Linked DNA regions of Cricetulus griseus. The protein of the gene in region 7 purifies or fractionates together with the protein of the main gene of each other region. This does not show direct contact. Links are inferred from orthologs where the notes say so. Each region holds a gene or a part of one and is shown on either strand. Other genes may lie near its edges. The genes, in order: Trpc4ap, Wdr61, Dcaf12, Det1, Phip, Dcaf4 and Cul4a.

What was found.
Region 1: the proteins of Cul4a (region 7) and Trpc4ap purify together in Homo sapiens (affinity purification with mass spectrometry; 7 studies listed by BioGRID and IntAct, counting the BioPlex papers as one, with this or other methods). This does not show direct contact. The link is inferred for Cricetulus griseus from reciprocal best matches to the Homo sapiens genes CUL4A and TRPC4AP.
Region 2: the proteins of Cul4a (region 7) and Wdr61 purify together in Homo sapiens (affinity purification with western blotting; 3 studies listed by BioGRID, with this or other methods). This does not show direct contact. The link is inferred for Cricetulus griseus from reciprocal best matches to the Homo sapiens genes CUL4A and SKIC8.
Region 3: the proteins of Cul4a (region 7) and Dcaf12 purify together in Homo sapiens (affinity purification with mass spectrometry; 4 studies listed by BioGRID and IntAct, with this or other methods). This does not show direct contact. The link is inferred for Cricetulus griseus from reciprocal best matches to the Homo sapiens genes CUL4A and DCAF12.
Region 4: the proteins of Cul4a (region 7) and Det1 purify together in Homo sapiens (affinity purification with western blotting; 6 studies listed by BioGRID and IntAct, counting the BioPlex papers as one, with this or other methods). This does not show direct contact. The link is inferred for Cricetulus griseus from reciprocal best matches to the Homo sapiens genes CUL4A and DET1.
Region 5: the proteins of Cul4a (region 7) and Phip purify together in Homo sapiens (affinity purification with western blotting; 11 studies listed by BioGRID and IntAct, with this or other methods). This does not show direct contact. The link is inferred for Cricetulus griseus from reciprocal best matches to the Homo sapiens genes CUL4A and PHIP.
Region 6: the proteins of Cul4a (region 7) and Dcaf4 purify together in Homo sapiens (affinity purification with mass spectrometry; 8 studies listed by BioGRID and IntAct, counting the BioPlex papers as one, with this or other methods). This does not show direct contact. The link is inferred for Cricetulus griseus from reciprocal best matches to the Homo sapiens genes CUL4A and DCAF4.

Annotation. Positions count from the first base shown.
Region 1 is NC_048599.1:23,921,342-23,925,556, reverse strand, and holds the start of Trpc4ap (short transient receptor potential channel 4-associated protein), read right to left. Parts: upstream 2,801-4,215; 5' UTR 2,756-2,800; coding exon 2,588-2,755; intron 1-2,587. UniProt on the Homo sapiens protein: Substrate-recognition component of a DCX (DDB1-CUL4-X-box) E3 ubiquitin-protein ligase complex required for cell cycle control.
Region 2 is NC_048597.1:166,341,560-166,345,054, reverse strand, and holds part of Wdr61 (WD repeat-containing protein 61), read left to right. Parts: intron 1-189; coding exon 190-283; intron 284-1,355; coding exon 1,356-1,449; intron 1,450-3,332; coding exon 3,333-3,425; intron 3,426-3,495. UniProt on the Homo sapiens protein: Component of the PAF1 complex (PAF1C) which has multiple functions during transcription by RNA polymerase II and is implicated in regulation of development and maintenance of embryonic stem cell pluripotency.
Region 3 is NC_048595.1:101,264,967-101,269,032, reverse strand, and holds the start of Dcaf12 (DDB1- and CUL4-associated factor 12), read right to left. Parts: upstream 2,801-4,066; 5' UTR 2,487-2,800; coding exon 2,409-2,486; intron 2,044-2,408; exon of another isoform or gene 1,816-2,043; coding exon of another isoform or gene 1,756-1,815; intron 1,435-1,755; coding exon 1,180-1,434; intron 1-1,179. UniProt on the Homo sapiens protein: Substrate-recognition component of a DCX (DDB1-CUL4-X-box) E3 ubiquitin-protein ligase complex of the DesCEND (destruction via C-end degrons) pathway, which recognizes a C-degron located at the extreme C terminus of target proteins, leading to their ubiquitination and degradation.
Region 4 is NC_048596.1:118,770,930-118,775,123, forward strand, and holds the start of Det1 (DET1 homolog), read left to right. Parts: upstream 1-1,394; 5' UTR 1,395-1,533; intron 1,534-3,828; 5' UTR 3,829-3,943; coding exon 3,944-3,957; intron 3,958-4,194. UniProt on the Homo sapiens protein: Component of the E3 ubiquitin ligase DCX DET1-COP1 complex, which is required for ubiquitination and subsequent degradation of target proteins. The complex is involved in JUN ubiquitination and degradation.
Region 5 is NC_048597.1:193,301,637-193,305,136, reverse strand, and holds part of Phip (PH-interacting protein), read left to right. Parts: intron 1-2,737; coding exon 2,738-3,375; 3' UTR 3,376-3,500.
Region 6 is NC_048598.1:120,209,212-120,213,363, forward strand, and holds the start of Dcaf4 (DDB1- and CUL4-associated factor 4), read right to left. Parts: upstream 2,801-4,152; 5' UTR 2,699-2,800; coding exon 2,671-2,698; intron 341-2,670; exon of another isoform or gene 142-340; intron 1-141. UniProt on the Homo sapiens protein: May function as a substrate receptor for CUL4-DDB1 E3 ubiquitin-protein ligase complex.
Region 7 is NW_023276807.1:67,640,986-67,644,485, reverse strand, and holds part of Cul4a (cullin-4A), read left to right. Parts: intron 1-1,224; coding exon 1,225-1,338; intron 1,339-3,500. UniProt on the Homo sapiens protein: Core component of multiple cullin-RING-based E3 ubiquitin-protein ligase complexes which mediate the ubiquitination of target proteins. As a scaffold protein may contribute to catalysis through positioning of the substrate and the ubiquitin-conjugating enzyme.

The DNA.
Region 1 (4,215 bases), on a different chromosome or scaffold from region 7:
ATTTTTTTTTTTATTTAAAAGGTATTTTTTGGCAGGTGGTGCTATTGTTACTGCCCAACCTGCTGCCCCTTGTAGTCTACTTAATGAAATCTGTTTTCTTTCCCATTCCACCACCCCCTCAAAACGTTTTTTAAAAACCTGGCACTTTTTTACTGTGCCATATGCGGTAACCAATATGTGTACTGCACTAAGGAAATATGGTTGAGCAAATGATTTATTCTGCATAGCAGGAGAGAAGATAGGGAGAGCATAGCAAGGAGGAAAACTAAAAACTCTACTAAGAGAGGAAACTATGAACTGTAAAGGTTTCCATTATCACTACTATTTGGAGGACAGGAATTCCTAATTCAACCTCTGAAACAACTCCCTCACCTGTATAAAACTATCAAAGAAATATGCAATTACAGGCTAAGAAAGCAATGTAACCAAACAAACTTTGGGGATTAACAGAGTAATCGTGAGGACCACAATGCCCAGTCAAAACAGGCTTTAAGAATAATCCAACAGTCTTCCAACATAGTTTCCTAGTTCATAGTTTCAACACTGGAAACAAATTATTTCCCTAAGTTGCCTCATCCAGCATGTTAAAGATTTCTATGGCTCACTGTTTTTAGGACACAGATTATCTGAAGGGGTATTTAGAATCTCATTGCCTAACCTTTTTGAACTTCAATTTCCTCATCTGTATTAAGAGATGAATTCAGCACATGGCTCAAAATACTGAAAACTGCTGGATGTGGTGGAACATACCTGTATTCCCAGCACTACCTCAAGTTCAGGGTTAGTCTAATCTATATAATAAACTCGAAGCCAGCCAGATCTATGTAGGAAGAGCCTGTCTCAAAAGTAAACTTACTTAAAAAAAAACAAAACAAAACATGAACACCTTGCACACTGATTGATCCAAAGTATGTGATTATTAAAGGTCAGTCCCCTCTTTGCTTGTCTCTACATAGTGAGCTCAGTGACATATCCTGACTTCAAGGACAGAACAAGTATTCCTCAGATCTTCTTAGGGCAGATGCAGAAAAATGCAATAAAGGAAAGATGCTCATCCACAGTTTCTGTAAGAAAATATGGCTACCCAAAAGTGCTCCTTCATCTGCAACCCTTTACAAATACAGACTATCTCACCCTCACCCTTTTAGTCCTTTGAGTAATATTCAAATGGCTCAAAATTAATTTTAAATATGTAATGGTACTTTGAAAAAAATCTCACACCTATTCCATTCCCTCATCCACACACCTAATTCCCACTCCTCTCCAATTCAACACTCAACTGGTTTCTTGTGTGTTCCTGAAAATCATATGCAAAACTATCTTTTACTTAAGCTAATGTTCTATCTCCCTCCCACCCCCTCCTCGGTTTGTTTTTCAAAACAGGGTTTCCCTGTGTAACAGCCTTGGCTGTCCTAGAACTCAATTTGTAGCCCAGGCTTCCCTGGAACTCACAGACAGAGACCCGCCTGCCTCCTCTGCTTCCCAACTGCTGGGGATTAAAGGCAGGCACCCAGCTAAACTTCCGTTTCAAAGCAAATTTCTGGGACCACCTGAGAGGATGAGGAAAATGTGAGAGGAGTCATCCATCCTGCATTATTCAAAGTAGTGTCCTGTGCGCGCACCTACGCGCGCGCACGCACGCATGCACGCACGCGCACACAGACACACACACACACACACACACACACACACACACACACAAACACACACACACACACACACGCCACGCATGTACTGGACTTGCGTATCAATCGGTGTGATGATAAGCTAGGCATTAAATATAACCTTAACTGAGCGCTCTCCGGCCCTTATCTGCACCTGAAATGCACTAACACTTTACACTACTATCTCCTTTGAATTTAGCAATAACCTGAAACTAAGTCACTGAAAGATAACTTGCACAAGCAAGACAGAAAGTAGGGCTTTGAACTCGGGCTTGACTAAAGTTCTTCCTCCAAAGCATGTCGCCCTACACTGGCAAAACAGTCTCTGCACCCGTTGGAGCTCAGCCTAATGTGGGAGACAGGCGTGAAAAGGGCACACAACAAAGAAATATGCAATTACAGGCTAGGAAAATAATGCAACCGAAAACGAACTGGAGGATTTGACAGAATAACAATAGGGGCCTACTTTCGAAGAGGGGGAGCAACGTTAAGGCCTCTTTGAGAAGATGACATCTACGATAGGCTTGCGAACCGTTTGGGGGGCTGCAGGGAGGAGGACCCGGTCCTGCTCACAAGGGGCAAACGCCAGGCCAGTAGAAGATGAAGCCAACTCGCCAAGGGCCCCCAGACATGCAGACGTGGCGCAGGGAAATGAGGATCTAGAAACTCGGCCCAGGGCTCATACGCGCCATCCGCACCCCGGCAGCGCGACCCCACTCGGCCCAGACCTGCAGGCCGCCCAGCCGGCCGCTGTCCATCGTCCCGCCGCGGCTGACAGCGGCCGGCCGGCACTGAGGACAACCCCGCGGCCAGCCACGGGGGATCTGGCCGGTCCCGCAGCGGCCTGAAAAGGCCTCTGTCCCGGCCCCTGGCCAGCTCCAGCCTGGCCCGCCCCGCCCCGCCCCTCCGGGCCGGCCTCGTACCTGCACCGCCCGGACCAGGCCCCGACCGGTGAGCTGGCCCTGCCGCAGCTGCAGCAGGATGTTACCGGGCCGCGGCCGGCCTCCCCAGCCGCCCCATGCCGCCGCTGTAGCTGCCGACTGTCTCCCCCGGCTGGCCCCAGCTCCAGCCGCTGCCGGCGCCGCCGCCATGTCTCCTCGTCCGACAAACAGGAAGCAAGCGGCCCCAGAGCCGCGTAGATTTCTACGGGGCGGCGGAGGACTCTCCACATCGCCCCCAGTGGACAGACGCGGAGATGCAGGCCGCGTGGCGGGGGGGTGGGGGGAAATGTGCGCGCCCGGAGGTCTTATGGGAAGTGTAGTCTTTCTCCCGAGGTCGGGCAGATGACAGAGATGCTGGCCTCCTGGACCCACCTGTTTCCCCACATCCCACCTCCAGCATTTCTGTGAGGTTGCTCCAGATGGAAGACTGATCGCTGCGTGGGCATGCTCTCGAATTTCTTGTCTGTTTAGGGATGATGCAGCCGAGTGGCTAGTGAAAGGCCCTAGGCCAGAATTGACACTTGATTCTGAGTTCTGTCCCCTTCTTTTTACGACTGCCTCCAGCCAAGTCTACCCTTGCTCCTCAGTTAGTTCATTCAATATGGGCTCAGATGAGTCAACTAACATTTGTATTATAATTAACAAATATATCTTATGTAAATAATATATAAAAGATTCGAAGAAAATGGTAGAAAACATTTCATGAATTACAAAATTGTGTTGAGATTTTACAGATGTCAATAAATAATTTCTAAGGGAGCCAGCTGTACTCCTCACACTGAACAATAGAGGACGTGGAGGGTGCGGTGATGAGCAGAACAGTGGAGCACCCTGTGAGGGGATTGAGACTACAGGGACCACAGCAAGTCCACACACAAAGAAATGTAACTGGCGAGGTTGTGGTCAAGTTCAGTGAAATAATGCAAGGAGTGGGGTTGGTAAGTCGTAGCCTCTGCCAAACAGAACACTGCGCTGATTTCCCTGCGCTAGTGTGCTCTCTCTCTCTTCTGAACCGCTGTAGCGCGGCGGCAGCGGTAACCACTCTTTCCCTGTTTTCTCTCCAGGGAGAGCTGAATGTGCTGAATTGGGATGTCATGAAGTTTGCTGCTTGTAACAAAGGAGGCTTTAATTTGTTACACAAACCAAAATCCCGTAAAGTGTGAAATGATGTAATAAATAATTAGACTAAAACAACAGACATTTATGGGCACTGCCAGGACAAACTAGACTGTGGTTACTATCTTTTTGTTTAAATTTTTTGTTCTTTTCGAGACAGGGTTTCTCTGTGTAGCTTTGGAGCCTAACCTGGCACTCACTCTGGGGACCAGGCTGGCCTCAAACTCACAGACATCCGCCTGCCTCTGCCTCCCGAGTGCTGGGATTAAAGGTGTGCGCCACCAGCGACCTGCGTGGTTACCATCTTAAAATGCCCACTTTAGAAAGTATGATTTCTGCTCACCTCCAGCAGATCACTACTAGATTGTCTGGTTTAAAACAAATAAAATAGGGCTCGAGGGATGAATCAGCAGGTAGAGGCAGTGGGCTGTCAAGACTGAGGACCTAAGTTGGGTTCCCTGGACCAATATTGGTGGAAGGAAAGAAATGACTCC
Region 2 (3,495 bases), on a different chromosome or scaffold from region 7:
AAGGAAACCTGTCTGTCGAGGCGCTTTAGCTGTGGTCCCCTGCACAGACCCTGCAGTGTTCATTAGCTGCTGTCTTTTGGTGTGGTTTGCTGGCAGCCAGTTAGATGTGAGGCCAGCAAAGCAAGGCGGGTTGTATTCAGAAGGGACAGGCTAACCAATTTGTCTCAAATCATCCATCTCTCCCCACAGAGTCCTGATGGGAAATACCTGGCCAGCGGAGCCATAGATGGGATCATCAATATTTTTGATATTGCAACTGGAAAGCTTCTGCATACGCTGGAAGGTACCCACAACCCCTCATCCTAGTTTGTGCTCACTGGATGGATATCAGGTCACAAAGCAAGAATGCTTCTTTTATTAAAATACTAATTATATTGTTTTTATCTCTGTTGGAAAACTGAAGTACCACTATGTCTTAGACATAGCACTGTGGTTTTAATCTGGACACAATAGTTCTTTTTTAGTGATGTTGATTAGTTTTTATTTATGTGTGTTTTCTCTTTTTTCCTCATGAGCTTTGTGATTGCAAGGCTGTCCATCTCCACACTGGTGGCTTTGGGAGGAGGACAGAGCAGGAGACAGAGATTGCTCCTCTTGTGTCTGATTTTGAATTATAACCAAGTGCATGTATTACCTTAATTTACCCTTTACCCAACAGCAAAAGATTTGGTAGAGAAATAATATTATTGGACCTTACAAATATTATTTGTCCAACTTTACAAATCAGATGCAGCCTGTATTTCCATATTTGGCCATATTTGTAGGGCGTTGGGGGGGGACTGTTGTTGTTTTGTTTTGAGACAGGGTTTCTGTGTAGCCCTGGATATCCTGGAATTCACTATGTAGACTAGGTCTGCCTCTGCCTCTGCCTCCTGGGTACTGGGATTAAAGATTTATGCCATTGCCACCCAGACAGGTCTTTTGTTTGTTTTAAGATTTTGTGTATATGCGTGTGCGTGCACATGCAAAGCACAGAAGCCAGATTTCAGATCGCTTGGAGCCAGAGTTACAGATGGTTGTGAACTTCCAGCTGTGGGTGCTAGAAACTGTACTTGGGTTCTCTGTGAGAGCAGTACATGCTTTTGACCACTGAGATATCTCTCCAGCCCCCCAATTGTTTTGATTTGAATTTTAACAGATTATATTGAGACCTAGCTGATTAGAGAACTAAGAAGAAATGGCTACAGGAAAGAGGTTGGAGGCCTGTGGGAGTGGAGGAAGGGTCTAGTCAGTACCTTCTTCTCTGACTGAAGCTCCAGGGTTGTTCCAGCTCAGTGACTAGTGGTCATTAAAAGGGCACAGTTAGAAAGCTTGTGTGGTGGAGCTGCCAGCTTAACAGCTTTTCTGAATTGCAGGCCATGCGATGCCCATTCGCTCCTTGACCTTTTCCCCTGACTCCCAGCTCCTCGTCACAGCTTCAGATGACGGCTACATCAAGATCTATGATGTGTGAGTTACCTTTCCAAGAGTAAAGGTCTCAGCAACAGCTTTTTCCCTTTACTGATAGGAGCCACTCTAGGAATTTGTGCCTGCTCTATGGCTATAAGTCAGCTCAGATGCTTTGAACTCCCAGTCATTTCTCTCCCAGCCAGCCCCTCCTGCTAGAGCTTAGAGTGTGTCCCCAAGGTCTATGTGGAGGAAAAGTACATCTATCTAACCCTAGAAGGATTAGACACTGCTGCTCTTTTTCAGGGGTCAGGTGGTTTGGCTCCCTGATATTCAATTCTTCTGGGTAGATATGTAGCATACAGCTGAGGAAATGGAGCTCTGGCTATAGCTGGCCTTGGGTGTCTCTTCCAGGCTCCTGCTTTCAGCAGATATGCAGGCTGACTTCTGGTTAGGGAGCCCCAGGGTAAGCTGCCCCATAGGTCTAGGTGGGGAGCCTCTTGAGGTATGTTCTGGACTGACGGCGTAGGAGTGAGCAGATTGCTCTTGTGTGCTCAGCACCACCATTGAGGGCCCATACTGCTCTCCCTTCTGTTGTGTTCCTCCCTCCCACCTTCTCATTCCCCCGCTGTTGCCAGTATATGCCAGTATATTTGTGTTGTCCTGGGTTTCATTATGAGTCTCCATGCTAAGTGTGCCTCTAGTTCATCATTCTCCAGTTCTTTTCTAATCTGTCTTACACATTTCTCACTCCAATATGTCCTTTGGGCCTCTGTGAGCTGTTTGAGAGTTGAACTCTGCGATCAGAAGGGCATGCTGCTTTTGACATTAGTGGTGAGAGGATTCTGGGGCCACAAGAAGAGACTCTCAACATTGCATGTTTTGGGTGTCTCTCTTTGTTAGCTTTCATTGATGCTCTTCCATGACTTCCCAAGCTGTTGAGGCAACATGACATAGTGCCTCCACTTAGCTGGCTGAAGAGGTGGTAATTGCCCTAGCAATAGTGAACCTCACGATTTCTTACTCTCTGCACTTCCTGAGGCTTGTTTTTAGAGGCAAAATTGCTGACCTCAGGCCCAGGTTGCTTCTCCTGGCATAGGCATTTGGTTTCCTGGGAGAGATGGGTGGCTCAGCAATTAAGAGCACTTGCCAGTCTTGCAGAGTTTAGTTCCCAGCACCCATGCTGGGTGCTCACAATTACCTGTAACTACAGCTCCAGGGGTTCCATGTCTCCCTGTGGACTTCATGGGCACCTGCACACAAGTGGAACACACACATAAAATAAAAATCTTTTTCAAAGTAAAAGAAACATGGAAATAGTTGTAGGAATTGGGACTAGCTTGGTTTTTTGCTTTTTTGTTTTTGGCTTTTTAAGGTATTTTTTTGGTTTTGATTGGGTTCTGTTGTTTTATTTTTGGTTTTGACAGGGTCTCACTATCTAGCACTAGCTGGCCTGGAACTTGATATGTAGAACAGGCTGGCCTCAAAATCACAGAGATCTACCTTCTTCTGTCTCTCAAATGCTGGGATTAAAGGCATGTGCCACCATACCCACCTATCTGCCTTGGTCTTGACCAGGTCACAGATGTTCTGTTGAGCCACATATCCTATGATGGGCACATCTCGATGCTTTCCTCTCATCATGGGAAAGGTTCTACTGCAGGAGGGTCTGGCTGGCCTGCTCACCCCTGCTACTCAGTCTCTTCAACTTGGAGTTGGCTGAGCCATCTCTGCAGCCTCCAAGCTCTTGATATTTTTAACTTAATGCTGCTATAAAAATGTGTCTGGTGTTTACTGCTACTTCACTGAAAATGGAATTTATGACATATGGCCATTCTGATATCACACTCAACCATGTGAGTGGAGCTAATAGTTCATTAACCAATTCCGAAATTAGAGTCCCCTAAATTAGCATCTCCATTCTGTTTGAATCTTTCTTCTTCCAGACAACATGCCAACTTGGCTGGCACACTGAGTGGCCACGCATCCTGGGTGCTGAACGTCGCGTTCTGTCCTGATGACACTCACTTTGTCTCCAGGTACGTAGGAGTCATAAATTTCTAAAGTGGTTGGCAGGGGAGAGCAGTCTTCTGATAATGTGCCTTAAAA
Region 3 (4,066 bases), on a different chromosome or scaffold from region 7:
TAACATTTCCCTTCCAATTATTTATAACTGTTACTCTCTTTAAAACTGTTCCCTACTCTCATGTCCTCTTCTTCACAAACGCTCATACCCTAAAATACACCACCAGGTACCCATTTCTTATCTTTTTTTTTTTTTTTCCTTTTTCTTTTCTATCTTGTTTTTCAAGACTGGGTCTGGGTTTCTTCATGAAGCCGTGGCTGTCCTGGAACTCTATAGATCAGGCTAGCTTTGAACTCAAAGAGATCCACTTTTGTCTCTGCTTCCCAAGTGCTAAGATTAAAGGTGTGCCCCACCACAGCCAGTTCTTCTTTTTCTTTTCTTTCTTTTTCTTCTTCTTCTTTTTTTTTTTTTTTTTTTGAGACAGGGTTTTTCTATGTAACAGGACAGTCTTGGCTGTCCTGGAACTTGATTTGTAGACCAAGTTGGCTTTCAACTCACTGAGATCCGCCTCTGCCTCTCAAGCGGTGGGATTAAAGGTGTTCACCACCACCCGGCTTGTCTTTCTTATAGGAAACTACTCATTTTTCCTTTTTGTTTCTTCTGAGACAGGTTCTCAGTATACAGTCCTGCCTGGAACTTAAGCAATTCTACTCCCTAGCCATCCAAGTGCTATGTTTGGATTCTATTACACGGAAAAAAAGTTATTTGCCTTATTTTTACTTTCAGCCAAATTCCAAACACTTCTACATATGTCAATGGCTGACACACAGCAATTAAGTTGCCACTATCATGTATCCTGAATGGCGATTCTGAGCATCAATTTCTGTCCTTGCTTTGAGGTCTCTTGCTTAAAAGATGAGGCTAAAACACCAGAAGCAGAAGCATATACAGAGCCAGGGACTAAAGACATGCGTTCATTTGACACCATCAAAAGATGCAGAAGTGAGAAAAAGAGCAGAAAAAGAGGGGACAAGGCCATTAACTAGAAGGAATGGAGAGTAAAGAAACTGATGGGGGCACTTCTTCCTGAAGAGCCCCAGACCCACAACTGGGTTTGTTCTTTCCTTGAGCACCTCTCTGTCCTAACGCTTCTACTGAAAATCTCTTAATAAATTCCAAATCTGCTTACACAAAAGAAAATGTAAACAAATTTGGGCGATGCACAGATAAGAAAGGCTCTAGAGCAGGTGAAGCCATGCATGTCAGACCTAAGAGAGAGAGCGTCTTCCTGCCACTTACCGTATTGCATTTTGTGCCACACACCACTTGCCTATGATTCAACCACTGAGAAGCAAACACTTTATTAAGGGTCCCAAGGTGAAATTCTCTCTCCTTCAGGAGACTGGGAAGTTGTTGTGCTGCGTAACCATGTAACACCCGAGAGTAGTTGGTTTCACTCTGCAGCCTGACCTCCCGGTTCTTCAGGTAGTACACCAAGGATCTTTTCACTGGGGGTAGTCTTTTCCGCTTGTGCAGCGAGTGATCCCAGCCAAACTGTGGAAATCAACATCAGAAATCAGATGTTTGGCCACTTCCCTCGATGACAAGAAATCCCACTGTATTAGAGAACAACAACCAAGAGTTCGTCCCTCAGGATTTACACAATCAAAAATGTAACGGAAGACTCACAACCCAGAAAGTACATCTTAATTCGTCTCGCACTGAAATAAGGTTCTCGCAGTGATGCCTACTTGGAAAATGGGTAAACAGGATGAAAGGTTTACTAGACCACTGAGGAAAGTGGAGGACTTAGAAACCCTATATACTCGGTGTCCTTGGCAGGGAAGGAAATGAGGCCCAGATTACCGAACCCACCTGGGCTGCATTTCTACCCAGTCCCCTTCTCCCTCTCCGCTTGTGCTCCCCGTAGAGCATAAAGGGTATTCAATGAGCCAGAGTGGGATCCCGGATCTTCTAGGGATGTAGTCAGTGGCCGCTCATCTGACACCGCGCGACTTGCGCTGCGGGCAGTTTTAGAATTCGAAAAATCAAATACCAACGGGGTGAAAAGAGTAACCAGCGTCGGAATCCCGAGTCCGACGGGCCCTCCTCTCCAAAGGGGGCAGTAGAGATGACACCTGGTGTTTCTTCTAGGTGTCTAAAAGGACCAGCCTCCAGTTTAGGAGATTGTTTCCTTGCTAAGAGACAATCGGGCCACATTCACGGTGTGCCACTGGAAGCCTGACTTCGGTCTCCTTCCCAGACTCCCCTTGAACTCAGTTTCCCGCGGGACCAGGAGGTCCTGGCTTCTCCTCCAGCTCTATCCCTAGCTGCAGACTTTCAGCGGAAGGCGTCATTTTGGAGTTTCCTTTTGGCTCTTCACCCTTCCGGCTCGCCTGCACGTCAGTAAACTGCAGAAGGACCGGCCGCGGCTCTTGTCCCACCCTGGTCCCTGGTCCCGGTCCTCAGCTGGAACTCCCTAAGCCTCTGTTGGGGTTCTACCATCGCCCTAGCCTGTAAGCCCTCACCTGCGGGCCCTGAGCGTCGCTCCCGGCTCCAGGCGAGGCAGGCGCTTTCCGCTTCCTGCTAACTGCTTTCCGGGCCATAGTGGGCAGCGCCGCCGTGGCCCCGCAGCCACATGGGGCGGAGGAAGCGAGGGGCGGCAGGGCGACGGGTCATATACCGGGCCCCGGGGCCGCGCGCTTTCGTGCGCCCGGCCCGGAAAATGGCCCGGACCCGGGGCGGCAGCTGATCAAAGAGAGGCGCGTAAAGGGAAGGAGGGAAAAATCCAGGCTGGGAAAGAAAAGGCAAAGCAGGATCGAGCAGCTTTCAGACAGCCAAGTCTGGAAAGGACGGCGAGCGGCGAGAACCAAAACACCCCCTCCTGATCACCCGAGCCCGTCACTCCTGCGCAGCCGCACATCGCAGCACGTCGCCACGGAGACGCCGCCTAGATCAGAGGGGTGGGACTTCAGGGCTGCAAGGAGAATTGGTGTTGTCGGAGAACTTCCGCTTCCCTTTTACCAATGGTGGTTTAGCTGTGGTCAAGCTGTGGCCAAAGGAACCCAGCCTTCTGGCGGGGCATTTCCGACCTCAGCCAGCTCATCCTCTGGCATGCGGAAGCAAGAATGAGCTGCCTCGCCGCGGGTAGGAATCTCTTCCAATCTTAAACCTCTAACCATCCTGGCTTGATTAAAGATATTCTAAAAACCCTGATGGATGCCCGTTTGCAATCAGACTATTAAAACACTGGACTCTCCAGAGATTGCAATTTCCCTGGGGGTCTTATTCAAGGAGAAGGAAAAGACTCTGTCACAGATGCCAGCCAACAGAGGAACTTGACTCCAGGAAGGATATTTCACAGTTCCGAAAACTTGTCAGACTACCTTACCAGAGAAACTGGAAATGAAACGACCACACCTTGACAAAGGACTGCTTAGTTGTGTATGCCTTTTGTCTTCTATGTAAGCTTAAACTATACCACTTAACAGAACCCTGGAAATGGACTTGGAGTAGAGAATGCCACCAGACGTCATTGTGCTTTCCAATTATAATATCTCTTTTTTTCACTTCAACTTTTGTCTTTTTAATTGACCTGTTGAGGATGAGTGACCCAACTAGTTAGTTAAGGCTGCCAAGGCTCAGGTTCTGACTCTTACAGCTCTGATAACAGTTTATACTCCTGCACATTTTTTCAAATCTCTCACAAACTATCATTGGGCACACATGATTGGACACCTTGAGGGAGGCAGAGAACCCTATTTCATCTTGCTTCAAGATGGATTCAGGGTAGAAAGCCATAGCAGCAGCAGACTTTCCCACATCCAAGCACTTGGCCAAGTACCTGGCATAGGTCACCCACACATGGGGGGAGTTCTCAGATTCCATTATCTGTTTCTTCCTTCTTCCTTACTCCCTAGCCTCCTCTCCATCCTGACTCCTGATGGAACCTCAAGTCACTTTTCCCCCGTTTTTTTGTTTTTTGTTTGGGACAGAGTTTCAATATGTAGTCTTGGCTGGCCTGGAACTCACTATATTATTTAGATCAGACTGGCCTCATACAAAGAGATCCTCCTGCTTCTGCCTCCACAGTGCAAGAGTGAAAGGTATGTTCTACCAAGACTGGCAAGTCACTTTCCATTCAACATCACCCCCTTTTAGGTCTCCAAGATCTGCTGTCACAGTT
Region 4 (4,194 bases), on a different chromosome or scaffold from region 7:
AATCACAGCCCTGCCACATGTTTGTTGAGCTTTGCTTTGGGAGAAAGTGTCATGTAGCCAAGGCTGGCAAACTTGCTTCACAGCCAAGGCTGGTCTTGAGCTCCTGATTCTCTCCTACCTTCACTTCCTAAGTGCCAGGACTATAAGATCTGTGCCACTACCCCTACTGACACTTATTCTTGTGTGAACTTGTGCAAGTGATATATGCCTCTCTTTGGGTCTTAGTTTCATCATGGAGAAGGAATATGCCCAGACAACTTCAGTAATGTTTTATCAAGACTTCAGGTGTTTGAAGATAGCATATTTAATACTTTGGATAACCTTAAGGGGCAGGTATAATCATTTCCAAGAAAAGGCAGTAGAGGCTCTGAAGCCACCACCTGAGAACACTCAACTTGGAAATGTTAGGACTGGGCCAGAAATCTTTCTCTTCACAGCTACTCTATATCCCTAAGTCACCTTTCTTCCTTTAGCTTCAATCCCTTGTCCTTTTCCCACCTCATAAAAGTCAACCAATATCTTTTCCTCGTGGTGTTGTGTGCAGAGTCTTTTTGGGGGGGAATTGGGGTGGGGACAGCAAGGTTCAACCTGACCTCCAGTTCTATATCCTATGCCTCATAAGAACTGGGGATATATGCATGGACCACCACTCGTGGCCCTCTGCTGGACTCTTTATTGAGCCTCTGTAAGATGGCAAACCTTGTTATAGGTGGGCCTGGAACAGAAAATAAGACAAAAAAACCTGTCCCCAGTTTATATTCTACCAGAGGGCAGAGAAACAAAATGCATAGCAACAAAAACAGATATTAGACTCAAGAGTGAAGAAATAGTGATGTTGGTGACACGGGAGCCTTAAGAGATGACATTTTGTGTTTGGTTTCCTGCCAAAGCATTGCAAAAATAAACAACACACACACACACACACACACACACACACACACACACACACACACACACACCACACACACGTAAAGATGACATATATGTAAAGACTTGAATGATCCAAAAGAGGGACAACTTAGGGTTAGACAGCCTAGGAGAAGCCACAGGCTCATAGGGAAGAAATAGCTTGTAAGAAATTAAAGTTCTATGTTAGTGAAAGACCAGAAAATGTTACGGGATTCATTTAGTACAGAAGATTTTATTGTATGCTCTGTGCCCACCAATAGCAGCGGGCCCGGAGAATGACACGGTGCATATATAATCACATTTTCCACCATTACAGGAGAAGTCGGTGAAAACTTAATTCCTATTCACGTTATTATGAAGGCTCCGGGCTTTTCACCCAGCCTCGATCCTTCGATCCCTCCTCCCGACGCCAGGGTGCGCTGCGCCGTTCCTCAGCTGGGTGGCGTCTCGCTCTTCCGTACTTCCCTTCTCGCTGCGCAGCACTTCCGGTAGCCGGCGGAAGCAAGGGGTCTGTGGCTGCCGACGCCGGGGTCCGGAGGCATGGCGTGGGCGGGGCAGGGGGAGGTGTGCACCGAGCAGGCTAGGGCGACCCTTGCCCCGGCCCCATGAGCCAGGACCCGACAGGTGAGGACTTGTCCTTTTCGGCCGGTGGGAGCTCCGCGGCGGGCTCCTCTCCGCATGATACCCGGGCCCCAGGAGCCCCGGCGCCAGGCTTTGCCCGTGAAGGCTCCGCCCTGGGCTTTTCTTTCCGGGGGCGCCCCTTGGGCATGTGTGTCTGCCTCTTGGCATCCTTTTCTTGTTTTGGAAGCAGTCGCCAAGTGAGGAGACATCTGCACTTGCTCTAACGAGGAAAAAAAACAAAAGAAAAAAACCAAAAAAAAAAAAAAAAAAAAAAAAAAAGAACCCTAACAATTTGCTTTCACACATTTAGTGACCCGATTTAGCCTGGCTTTCTTTTCGTTTCAGAACGTACCTAAGCGTCTACCATGTGCTAGCCCTAGAGCTAGATAAAGAATATACCGTGGTGACTGAAGTAGACCTGGTTACTTCCAGTAGAAAGAGTATAGTTCAGCGAGGAGAATTAAACATTAAACACAATCATGCAATCGAACATGCAAATAAAAGTTGTGACTGAATACTATAGAAAGAACAAGAAAAAGATGAGTCCTAATTTAGGGAGGATGGTAGGGAAAAAAAAAGACTTCCCAAAAGTTGACACTAAGGTTGCAACAGGAAAAGTTAAGGCAAGGACCAGGGAGAATGCATTTGAGAAAAGGAAGGTACCTCTGTGTTTTCCCACGTTGGTCAAGAATATGACTTGAGGTAAGCCCAGTGTTTAAGAAGGGAGCTTGGTAGGTGTCAAGCACTGGGGTGGGCATACAGAAGAGGTGTGTAGCTGACCCAGAGAGATCACTATAAGTATACATATAAGTAAAATACAGAGAATTGCAGGGAAAGAGAGGTGTGGCTACCGTGTTGGGATATCAGGTCTCATGAAGTGAAAAAAGGCCTTCAAAGACAAGATGTTGGAGTTGATACCCCAGGTAGTTCTCAAAGGTGAAGAGTTTAATTTCTACAAAGGCCAGATAGTATATTTCAGTCTGTGATCTGTTACAGACACTCAGCACTTCTTTCCTAGGGCTAAAGTGGCCATAGGCAATATGTAAATGAATGAGTGTGGTTGGGTTCCAGGGAAAGGTTCTTTCCTAAGTCAACCAGAATAGTAGTTTAGAGTCTGACCTCCTCAGGTCTAGCTCAGCATGCGGTTTAGATCCTTATCCTGTGGAGTAGTTTATCCATGGATAAGTTTGAAACAAAAGGATTGCAAAACAATACCCTTACTATATGTTGTAACTTTTTGTTTGTTTTGTTTTATGGTGCCGAGGATCTGGGCTACTTGTTAGCAGAGCCTTTGCCAGAATCACCTCCACCCCAGCTTTTGATTCCTTTCTGATGATTATTGATGTACTTTCTTTGTTGGCCATTTGTATGCCTTTGGGGAAATGTCTTTCAAGTATATCTTATCTGTCTGTATTTATTTATTCATTTATTTTTAAATAATTGGGTTTTGTGAGTATTTGTTGGGTTCTGGGAGTTTTTTTAAATAGGCTGAGTATTAACTCTTTATTAGATATTTGACCAGCAAATATTTCTGTTCATTTTGTAGGTTGCCATTTCACTTTTTTGGGGTGGTGGTGGTTGTTGTTTGTTTTTTGAGAAAGGGTTTCATTGTGTAACTCTGGCTGTCTTGAACTTGATCTGTAGATGAGGCTGGCCCCAAACTCACAGAGATCTACCTGCTTCTGCCTTTCCAGTGCTGGGATTGAAGGCGTGCGCCACCAAGCCTGGCCCCCTTCCACTTTCTAGTTGTAACTTTTAGTGTATAATGTTTTTATGTATTCATGTTTAATCATCTTTTAGATGTGTTACCCATGCTTTTGGTTTCACATCGTAAGTCATTAGATCCATTTTCATCGAGTTTCTCCCTGTGGTTTCCCTTGAAAGTTTTATAGCTATAGGTCTTCCACTTAGTTAATTCATTTTGAGTTAAGTTTTGTAAATGGTGCAAGATAAGGGTGTAATTTTATTTCCAAGATTCTTTTTGCTTATGATATCCATTTGTCCAGAAGCCGTGCGCTGGAGAAACTCCCCTTTCCTGTTGTGTGGCCTTGGCCTTACTGAATACCAAATGCTGTTTGCCCATGTGTGAGCTTCTTAGGGTTTGGCTCCATATCTGGGAAATCAGCTTAAAGGAGGAGAGCTTTGCTGTGTCTTAGTTACAGAGGGCTCAGTCCATCATTTTGAGGGAGGGTCTGGCAAACGGGAAGCAGAGAAAGGGGGGTAAGGAAAGGGTCAGAACAAGATTTAGCCTCCAAAGTCAAGTGTTCATATCCTGTTTCCTCTGCTTCTTCCACTCAGGCTTTCCTTCTACCCATCATCACCTCCCAGTAATGCTGCCATTATGAATCCACAAGATATCAATCCGTTGATTAGATCAGAGCCCTCATAATCTAGTGGTCTCTGGAACTGACTTATGGACACCCAGAGGTATGCTTCACTGATTCCTGGAGCACGGTTCTCAACCTCCCTAATGCTGTAACCCTTTAATACAGTTCTGCATGTTATAGTGACCCCCCAACCATAAATTATTTTTGTTGCTACTTCATAACTATAATTTTGCTACTGTTATGTATTATAATGAAAATGTCTGTGCCTTCTGATGATTTTATGTAACCCCCGTGAAAGGATTGTTCAGCTACCAAAGGAGTCGTGGCCCACAGGTTA
Region 5 (3,500 bases), on a different chromosome or scaffold from region 7:
TAGATTTCCATAATGCTTTTTTCATTTATCCTTAGTTTGGATTAACCTGCCCCCAACCTCTCCTCAGTCCTCCTATCTCTACTCACACTTACAACTCTGTGTATTCCCCTACCCCCCCTTCATGTGACTTGTGTTTGTGCATTGTCTAACTAGTTTTGATTTGAGCTCCATTTTGTGAGATAACTAGAATAACAAGTATTATTTCTCAATTCTGTTTGACTTGAACACCTTTTCCTGTTCTTTTATCCTAAAATAGAACCCATTTCTAGCCAATCTGCTAGTCTGTGCCTTTTGTTGGGAAATTGAGGCTATTGATATTCAGAGTTATTATTCAAAGTTATGTCTGTGTTCTTAGCATTTCATTGTAGTGTTTGGTTGGTTGGTTGGGGTTTTTGGTGTTTTGTTTTTAGGTTTGATTGTATGGGGATTGTGTTTTCTTGGACCTTCTCCGGCTCCTTGAGTGTGTTTAAAATCTTTCTCTTCATTTCTATGTATTCTTTCTATTATGCTGACCCAGTGTTATTAAATTCCTTTAGCGTTTTTGTCCTGGGAAGTTTTGATTTCTCTTTCCAATAATAGATTTTTTTCAGAACTTGGAATACATCTTTCTAAGGCCTTCTGATTTTAAACATCTTAGTTGAATAATTAGGTTTTATTTTGATGGACCTGCTTTCGTAAGTGACTTGACCTTTATCTAAGTACCCTTTCGTTATTCTGTGGTTTTAGTGTTCTGACAGTATGTGTTTTGGGGTGGGGTTTTTGTTTTGGGTTTTTTTTTGGTTTGGCTTGATTTTTTTGTTCCTTTGTATTTGGTGTTCAGTTACACCTCTGTACCCGAATAAGCTATCTCTTACTCTGTTTGATAAATTTTCCTCTGATTTTCCTGGGAAATCTAGCATAGTATTCCCTTGTTTTTTCTATGTCCATAATTTGCGTGTCAGATCTTTTCACAGTACCTCAAAAAAAAAAAAAAAAAAAAAAAGAAGAAAAATGTGTAATTCACATCTTTTGAGTGATCTAGTTCCTCTGCTTGTGCCTTTTAGTTTAGTGCCTAATTAGTATGTTTTCATGTAAAGCAAAGAAAGCACACAAGCCTCAGGCAGTTTGTGCTGTAGAAAATTCTTTGTTTCCACATTTATCTACCACGCCTTCACCTCCCAGTTGTAAAACAGCTGATCTAAAGAAAATCATTTATGGGAGGCTTGCAGGGCTTTTGGTGTTTTTCCTTTTCACTCCCTGTTCCAACTTGTTGAATTTCTTAACTTTTTAGCATGGAATTAGTTAAAAGTAAGATTTTTAACCAAGATAATAGTGGTCCACTTTACAGAATTGATACAGTGTCAATATTATATGATTACAAATTATCATTTGCCATTCAGTTACATGAAGAGAGACTATTTGAGTAGCATGTAAAAAGGAAAAAAACTCCTATTCAATTTTTTTTATGGTGAATATGGCTTTGTATGTAGGTGTGCACACATGTGTATGCATATGGAGGCCAGCAGTTGATGTTACATATCTTTCTCGATCACTTGCCTTATAGTTTGAGGCAAAACCTCTGCGCCTAGATTTCCCCAGTTGGCTTGGTTGGTTGGCCATTGAGCTCTATGGTCCCCTGGGCTCTATTCCCCCAGCGATTGAACTTACATATGTATATCACAATGCTTGGCTTTTTGGTGGTTTCTGGTGACCCAAACTTAACTAATCACCTTTCCAGCCTTCAGTTGTTCTTGTTGCTTCATCCTCTTTAAACAAGTAACCAAGAATAACTTACTTATACATTTGCAGATGAGAGTAGGTGAGGAATGTCAAAGCCATGGCAGTTTTTGTGGAGATTAACTGATAAAAATTACTGCAGCAGATATACTCCTAATTATCTTGGGTATGGAAATTAAGAAGGAAGATTCACTCTGTGACTAGGGAACATAAGGAGATCTTCAGACTCGAGACTCATTTCTGATAGAGAAGTTACTGTGGTCACAGTCATAGGAGATGAAATAAAAGCTAGAAATTTCCCAGTCTTTATTGTCTGAATAATCTTCTCACTGGTCAGATGACTGAAAGTAAGTGAGTAACAGTTAACATGCTTATTTATTGGAAGGACCAGATTAAAAAGCCATAAAATTGTTATGCTAAGAATATTTTTCCATGATTTCTTAAAAGTGATACTATAAAAACACCCTGTGTTTAGTAGGTTTAACAGTAAAAGACTTTGTTGTGATAAACTGCAAATAAATATGATCATTTCATTCGATTCAAACAAAAAACTCTTTAACACATTAGAATGTGTAATAAAGGAGGTAGGAGGTAGACATGGCATTTCTACTCTTTGCTGTCAGTGACGACATTAACTTTGTGCTTAAGTCTTTCTTTTTGTCTTGAGAGTCTTTTCCCGGGGGTCAATAAAATGGGCCAGCAGGTTTACCCCGCAAGTCTGTGAGAATAGGAGAGAACTCCCTCCCAAAAGTTGCCCTCCACTTCCACAGATGCATGGTGACTCATGTGACACTCACACATAGACATCATCATCATCATCATTCAAATGTACACACAATAAATAAATTTTTAAAAATAAAAAGACTAGGTAATAGCTGCAGAAATTTATCAATTCTCTTATTTTAGTAGGAGTTTTTTATTATTGTTTATTATTATATCATTACATAGACGTATTCTAGGGTTCTTACCCATTAGTTGGCGGGCTAAACAACACATTAAACATACTGTTTTTTCCTTTCAGGAGATTGTAAGAACAATGTTCTTATAGCAGGAACCATTCAAGTAAATGGCCATGGAGGACAGCCATCAAAACTTGTGAAGAGAGGGCCTGGGAGGAAGCCTAAGGCAGAAGCTAACACCAGCAGTGGTGAAGTTATACACAAGAAAAGAGGTAGAAAGCCCAAGAAACTGCAGTGTGCAAAGCAAGAAAACTCTGAGCAAAATAACATGCCTCCAATCAGGGCTGATGTGGTTCCTTCTTCAACATGCAACTTTCTTTCTAACACTAATGCTGTTAAGGAGGATTTGTTACAGAAAAAGAGTCGTGGAGGCAGAAAGCCCAAAAGGAAGATGAAAACACAAAACCTAGATTCAGAACTCATAGTCCCTACTAATGTTAAAGTGTTAAGGAGAAGTAACCGGAAAAAAACAGATGGTCCTATAGATGAGGAAGAAGAGTTTGAAGAACTCAAAGGCTCTGAACCTCACATGAGAACTAGAAACCAAGGTCGAAGGACAGCTTTCTATAATGAGGATGACTCAGAAGAAGAGCAGAGGCAGCTGTTATTTGAAGACACCTCTTTGACTTTTGGGACTTCTAGTAGAGGACGGGTCCGAAAGTTGACTGAAAAAGCAAAGGCTAATTTAATTGGTTGGTAACTTGAAGCAAAATATTGTACTTCAAAATCTATGAAACAGGTACAGTTAAGGAGTAAGTAGAACTAAGGTTTCTGCTTCCTGGCTGCTATGATGGATTAGGGAATGTTACAATTTGACTTAGGAAA
Region 6 (4,152 bases), on a different chromosome or scaffold from region 7:
GATGCTGGGTACAGGCCCACAATCAGGTAAACAGCTAATGCACTTGGGGGACATCTTAGTTGGGGTCCTGGGACTATATCACTTTACCCTAACACCTGGGACCTGGGGTTTAGGGATAATGATAAAAACCCTGGGACTTACATAGTAACAGTGGCTGCACAACCTTGCAAATGCACTAACAGCATGCTATGGTATTCAGTGAGGGCTGGGGAGACAGGAGGGTAAGCACTTGCCACTTAGCGGGGTCAGAATTCCCAAAACAAGGTTTCACTTCTCCAGTAAAATGGGAGGTGGAGACAGGAAACTCCTCATAAGTTCCAAGGCCAGCTAGCTCTATGAACTAAGAGGGAACAAAAGACCTGGTGTCAAACAAGGCAGGTAACAAATAACACCTCAGGTTGTCCTCTAACTTCCACACAACCACACTCACTTAATATGCACACAAAAATCACATCAATAAATAAGGTGAGAAATAATGCAATCATAGGAAAACCCAGTAAGACCCTGATTCCTAACACATAGTAAGATGCAAAGTGCTAATGCCACTGGTTGCTAGAACCCGGCATAAAATGGCCCCTTCAATAAGTTTCTACCCTCCATAGTGTGGACCATGTGGACCAAGGAGGGAAATGGGAAAATGCAAGTGGCTCAGTAGGACTTCTGTCCAGTGTAAAAAATAAAACGAGGGGCTGGAGAGATGGTTCTGCAGTTAAGAGCACTTGCTGCTCTTGTAGACCTGAGTTTGGTTTCCAGAACACACTATGAGGTGGCTCACCACCTCCTGTATCTCAGTTCCAAGTGATCCAACAGTCTTCTGGCCTTGAGGTCACTCCCACACAAACAGCATTCACCCACACATGCCCCTGTCCTTAAAATTCCATCCCTGAATCCACAGCAAAAAACCACCTCCACAAAGTTGCCCCCGATCTCTACATGCACACTTGCACAAAAACATCCATATAACAGTAATAAAATCAAGCCCCTCTTTACAACATGGAAACCAAGGCTTATAGAACTAACAATATCTAGCTAACAAAGTTGCATTAAAGGAGCAAGAAGAGGTCCCCAACACTTCAGGGCAAAATCACCCACAGGACAACACCTCAATTAATTTCCACTGTTATTTACAACTCAATTTCCAGACAGTGGGGTTTTTCACTTCTCCAAGGTGCTGATTCATTAGGTTTTTTTTCCTCCCTTCTTACTGCTCTGCTCAATACACATGATGGTGTCTATGGATCTTCAAGGTGGAGAGAGCATTGTGCTCCCCAAAGTCACCTGGGAGACCACAAATGCACCCAGATTCTGAAGAAATGGTGTGGACAGACTTTCTTTCTTTTTTTACTTTTTTCCTGAGAGACAGGGTTTCTCTGTGGCTTTGGAGGATGTCCTGGAACTAGCTCTTGAGGATCAGGCTTGTCTAGAACTCACAGAGATCCACCTGCCTCTGCCTCCCAAGTGCTGGGACTAAAGGTGTGTGCTACCACTGCCTGGCCAGACTGCCTTTCTCACTAACACACACGTGGTGTGTCGGGGAATGGAGGTTGGTCCACACCAGGGCTTACTAATGCTCTAATGCTTCCATATACCAGCCTGCACAAAATCTCAGGCAAGCCACCCTTAACCTTTCTTTCTGTGTCTGAGACAACTGTGGCTGGAGAGATGGCTCAGTGGTTAAGAGCACTTGCTGCTTACAGAGGACCCTGGTTCAGTACTCTGCATTTTACACAGGAGTGTAAGTGCACCCCCCCCCACGCAACTCTCTCTCTCTATATATATATGCCGGGTGGTGGCGCATGCCTTTAATCCCAGAACCAGGGAGGCAGAGACAGGAGGATCTCTGTTAATTGAAGGCCAGCCTGGTCTTCAGAGCGAGTTCCAGGGCAGGCTCTAAAACTATAGAGAAACTGTCTCGAAAAACCAAATAAAGAAACAAATAAATGCTCTTTTAAAAGGTGTGGGTGTGGAAACCCCCCCAAAAAAGAAAAAAAAAAAACAAAAACCAAAACAAACAAACCCCCCAAAATGCCCGGCGGTGGTGGCGCAGTCCTTTAATCCCAGCACTAGGGAGGCAGAGGCAGGCGGATCTCTCTGAGTTCGAGACCAGCCTGGTCTACAAGAGCTAGTTCCAGGGCAGCCTCCAAAGCCACAGAGAAACCCTGTCTCGAAAAGCCAAAAAAAAAAAAAAAAAAAAAAAAAAAAAAAAGTGTGTGTGTGTATGTGTGTGTAGACAAGGCTTAGTGGTTAGGAGCAATGAGGACCTAGATTTGATTCCCAGCATCTCCCATGGCAGCTCACAACCACGTGTAACTCTAGTTCCATGGGATCTGTGCGACCTTTTTTGGCCTCCGTGGACACCAGGCATGCTTGCAGCGCACATACATATGCAAGCCAAATACTCATACGCATAAAAATAAAAACACAAAACAACAAAACTAAAACAAGAACGTCTTCCAGAATTTATACCAAAAAGCGCTACTGGGCTGGTGCTCCATCACAGTCCGAATTTCAACGGAGGCGATGGCCCTGGGTCTTTAAGCAGGTGACCCTGGGGATCCCGCAGGGCCCGCCAGGCCCGGGCCCACACCCACTCCGGTCGTGTCACGTGCTCATTCCTCCTGCCCTTAGCCCGGCCTTCCCCGACGTCTGCGTGGGTACAGTGACACCCACCTTCGGCACCCAGGAGCGCACTGGGCATCGGAGCAGGCTTACCTGCACCGTTGCTTCTCCGAAGCTTAGCAAGTCCGGCTGGAGCACAGAGGAGGCGTGCGAGGACCCGGAAAGACACTCACGTTCTGTGTTGTAGCAGCCCATAGGACTAAGGCGACTGGCTCTGCCTTCTCATTGGCTCAGGCTTCTGCCCGTCCACGCCAGCAGGAGCGGTCTTATGCAGAGGGCGGGACTTGGGACTTCCGCTTCGTCAGAGCCCCTAGTGCCTGGCCCTGGAGTGCTTGGGGGCGGAGCCTGGTGCGCTTGGGGGCGGGGCTGGGGCTGGAGATTGCTACCTGAGTTCCAGACACCCTCTTGGCAAACGGAGTTTCTCTCTCTCCCTTCCTCCCCCCTCTCTATCTCCTCTCCTCTCTCTCTCTCTTTCTTTCGAGACAGGGCTTCTCTGTGGCTTTGGAGGCTGTCCTGGAACTAGCTCTTGTAGACCAGGCTGGTCTCGAACTCACAGAGATCCACCTGCCTTTGCCTCCCGAGTGCTGGGATTAAAGGCATGCGCCACCAACGCCCGGCTCGTCTTCTCTCTTGCTGCAGATCGTACCGGAGAAAATTTTTTTCTGCTTGGGGTCGGTACATGAGCCAGAGTTAACACTGATATGTTGTGGGGAAGAGATGATTGTATTGTGGAAAGAGCAAAGGAGCCTTTGAGGGGGAAAGAGAGAAAAGGATTAGGTGGAGTCCTCGAGACTGCAGGTGCGCAAGACTGCGGAGTGTGGCTTCGAATCTGCGTGTTTCCTGCGAGCTGTGTGATTTAGGGTGCGCACTTCTTCTCTGCGCCTTAATTTCTTCCACAGTAACAAGTAAACCGAGAAGATATTCTAATTTAATGATCTCCAGACAAAAGTATGTTTAGACAGTATTTCCAGAATGATATCTAGCGTGCCTGTACCAGCTCACAACCCGGAGGACCACTCCAAGGAAGATGAAATCCGTGATAGGTCAGAAGTGTGAAATGATTGTATTGTGGAAAGAGCAAAGGAGTCTCTGAGGGGGAAAGAAGAAAAGTGTGGGGAGAGTTGGTTCAAATAGGCCAGGCTAGGGTGGGGATCGCAAACAGGCTTGTTCTTACTGTATTTGGGGGAGCAAAGAATCCAAACTGACAGAATAGGTAACTGGAAGCCTGTTCCAGCTACTGGTTGGGCTGGCGGTGAGGAACCTGAAAGATTTAGCAAGGTGGATGGAAGCAGGGAAACCTGTGAGGCTTCAGAGACTGGAACCTTGTTGGGTAACAACTAAATCTGTGCTTAGCCGAGGTCTCTTGGGTGGAGCAGCACAGCAGTGACGTCGAAGGTAGTCACGGAGGAGAAAGAAAAGACAGGATTCTATGTAAAGCCTTGAGGTCCCTGTAGGATTGAGGAGGCAGAGGCGGCGGGGGTGTGTGTGTGTGGGGGGTAAGACCCGCACACGGATGACGACGGGACAACGCCA
Region 7 (3,500 bases):
TTTTGTTTTTGTTTTTTCACTTGTTCTGAAATTGTCCAAACTTACAGAAAGTGTGCTAGGTGGTTCCTAGAATGCCTGTGTTTAGCACCGGCTATGTATATGGCATCTCTTTCCTGTTCAGTGGGCTTTGCCCTCACTGTATCAGAGCAGGTCTCCCAGAATTTCCCCAGCACTTCAGATGAGAAACTGCTCACTGGTAGGAGTCCCTCATTCAAGCTTTGCCTGCTATCTCAAGTGTATCCTTGATAGCTACTGTGGTTGAGCTGTCTTTTTACTTTCTTGAAAGTATCTGTCTTAGTCTGTTTTCTGTTGTTGCAACAGCATTCCTGAAACTGGGTAATTCTAAGGCTGGGAAGGCCAAGATCAAAAGGCTTCCAGTGATAAGGGCTTCAAATAGAGAAGGGGCTCAGGAGAGGTAGCCATACTGCTGGTGACTGCGAGCCTATGCTCACTCCCTTGGTGCCTATGAGGTCATTGAGGTCATTCATTGTGTAGTCTGCATGCACTTGTGAGTGTCCATGCTCATTAGCTTTTGTCACTGTGACAGAACTTGAGAGAAACCACTTACAGAAATGAAGAAGGTTCCTTTGTTCGTGGTTCCTTTGTTTGTGGTTTCAGAGATTACAGCCGAAGGTCAAATGGATCTAGCACTTTAAAACAGGAGCACCCCTGCAGCATAAGCATTCTGGGTCAAGGCTGCTCATCTCCTGGGTCCAAGAAGAGGCCAGGAACAGGACATGCTCTCAAAGGCATATCCCCAGTCACCTACTTCCTCCAAAGAGGCCTCACCTTTGAGTTTCCAGAACTTTCCAATGCTGTTAAATTACTAATTCATTGATAAGGTCAAAGCCCTCATGGCTCAATTGCTTTCCAAAGTCTGTGCTGGCTGCCAAGCCTGGAGCACATGAGCCTCCATTGGCCATTTCACTACAAACAATGATAGTGTGTGACACCAGCCCTAGCCAGAGGGAGAGGAAGTCGCTGGACTACAGGCACCATGTGACTCAGGGTACCCACATGTACCACTAGAGGTGACCAGCAGGAGTGAGTGAAGCCTGAGTGTCAAGCACCAAAACAGAAAAAAGCCAGAGGTCTCGGGCCTGTGGGTTCAGAACTCAGAAAAATAAATATCAGAATCTGGGCCTGCCTTCTCAGGTCAGCTGTGCAGGCCTGTGAGAGCTCTGTAAGGGTATGCTCAGTCTCTCTTGTCTCTTGGTTTGGCAGATGGTCAGACTTCAGGAAGTATTCAAGACTTTCTACCTGGGCAAGCACAGTGGTCGGAAGCTCCAGTGGCAGACAACACTGGGACATGCTGTGTTAAAGGCGGAGTTTAAGGAGGTCAGTTCTTTATCTAGTACTCTTGTTTCTTCCATTCTCCTGGGTGTTAGGAAAATTTTTCAGATTGTTAATTGAACTCCCATAGCAATGAAAGGCAAGTTTTTTTTTTTTTTTTCAATATAATGTAGCACTAGTTTTTCTTGATCAATAAAAATAACAAGTGCCGGGCGTTGGTGGCACATGCCTTTATTCCCAGCACTCAGTAGTCAGAGGCAGGCCGATTTCTGTGAGTTCCAGGCCAGCCTGGTCTCCAGAGGGAGTACCAGGACAGGTTCCAAAGCTACACAGAGAAACTCTGCCCCCCCCCCAAAAAAAAAAAACAAGTAAAGGGTAAATATTCTGCTTAACAAAAATCAATAGTAAATTAATCAACAGAAAACCATTTACCAGGGTCGGGAAATAAATCATTAAAGTACTCATGCTGCACAGTCATGAGGGCCTGAGTCAGACCCCCAGCACACACATAAAACCAGGTGTGGGTATCAGCAAGATGCCACAGCTGCTAGAGTCACCTGACAGAGTTGATTCCCCAGGACCCACATGGTAAAAGGAGGGAAACAGTTCCCACAAGCTGTCCATGACCTCCATGAATGCACCATAATAGGCACACCTGCACATACAGAAAAATGAACACAGTATATTACTTAAAACATCTGTAATAGGCATGGCTGCGCTCACCTATAACCTAAGCAGTAGGTGTGCAAAGACAGAGGGGAGTCACAGGGACTTGCTGGCCATCAGCCTCACTGAAAAGTAGTGAGATTCAAGTTCAGCAAGAGACCCTCCAGAGAAAAGGATGGAAAGCAGCATCCTCCTCTAGCCTCTGCATGCCCCCCAGCACACATGTTTACACAGGTACACACCACACATGCAGTCATTAAAAGAGCAGTGGGTGTGAAAAGGCAACTATATAAGAAACTTGAAACCCGGTGTGGTGAAAATGTACACCAGTTTTCTGCTGAACAAAAGGTTGCAGATTAAAACACAGTGAGGTGTGGCTGTGGGCCAGGATGCTGACAGATACCAGAGAAGACCAGCAGGTGCAGCTACCAGAGGGAATCAAGCTGTGTAGTGTCATGGAGAGTGGCATGTAGAAGTGTAACCATATAGATCAAAGCCCCCAGATTATCTACTTTTCACTGCCTTAGTTCCAGTTGTAAGAAGCAACCTGTTGTGGTGTTCCTGTGCATGTGTGCATGAGCCCAAGGAGTCCGAAAGCTGGTAAAATACCCAGAAACTAACTGCAGACAGCTCTGATTCCATACAAGAATAGCAAGCTCCACTGCTGAGCCTTCTCCAGCTGCTCCTTCTTTCTTCCTTTCTTTCTGTTAGCTGTTACGTCTTCCTTCTGTTGTAAAGGGCCAAGCCACTAAACAAAGTTTGTCATATGCCAAGAACCCAAGAGGGAAATATTTCAAGATTTCCACATACTCTCTTGTCAAGTCACTTCAGTTAGAGCTGGGAGTCCTTGCTAAGGCATTTCACAGATCAGGGGATAAGAATGCTCACTGCTGTTACCAGCAATCATGTAAGAAGGAGAGACATGGGCTGCATGGATATACAAGAGAAGCTTGTCACCAGGCAGTGCATGGGAGACAGCCTTCATGTTCACATCTAACTCTTAATATATAAATCATGTATGTTTAAGTATGTCACGGAGAATACTCCAAGTTCCTGTTTTGTAGAGCCATTATTCTAGTACACTGTATACTGCATAGGTGTCACATACACTCTTCTGCAAGTCCAGTTCTGCCACCTGTGTCTTTGATTGCTTTCTGACTTAGGTAAGAGCTGACCTCTCAGATAGCATACAGCCCCTAAAGCTTTCTGCTCATGTGAGTCAGGGCTGGGTCCAACAAGAGGTACCCAACACTGCTGCTCCCCCAAATTCCCTTCCTGTCCTTTGTCTTCTACGAAACTGTTAGATTTCATGGTACTGGCTGGCATATGAGCACTGGGACATTCTAGATAAGAGCAGCTGAGCAGTGGAGACGGTGCTGATGGAGCACTATTTGTTTTTGAACCAGGTGTGGAGAAGCACTCTGCAGGCCCTTTTTTCCCAGGCTGTTGTCCAGCCTTCCTGTGCTCCACCCACAGCCTCAGCAAGCCATGTGTGATGGTACATGTTCATGAGCCCAGCATTCAAGAGTCAGAGGCAGGAG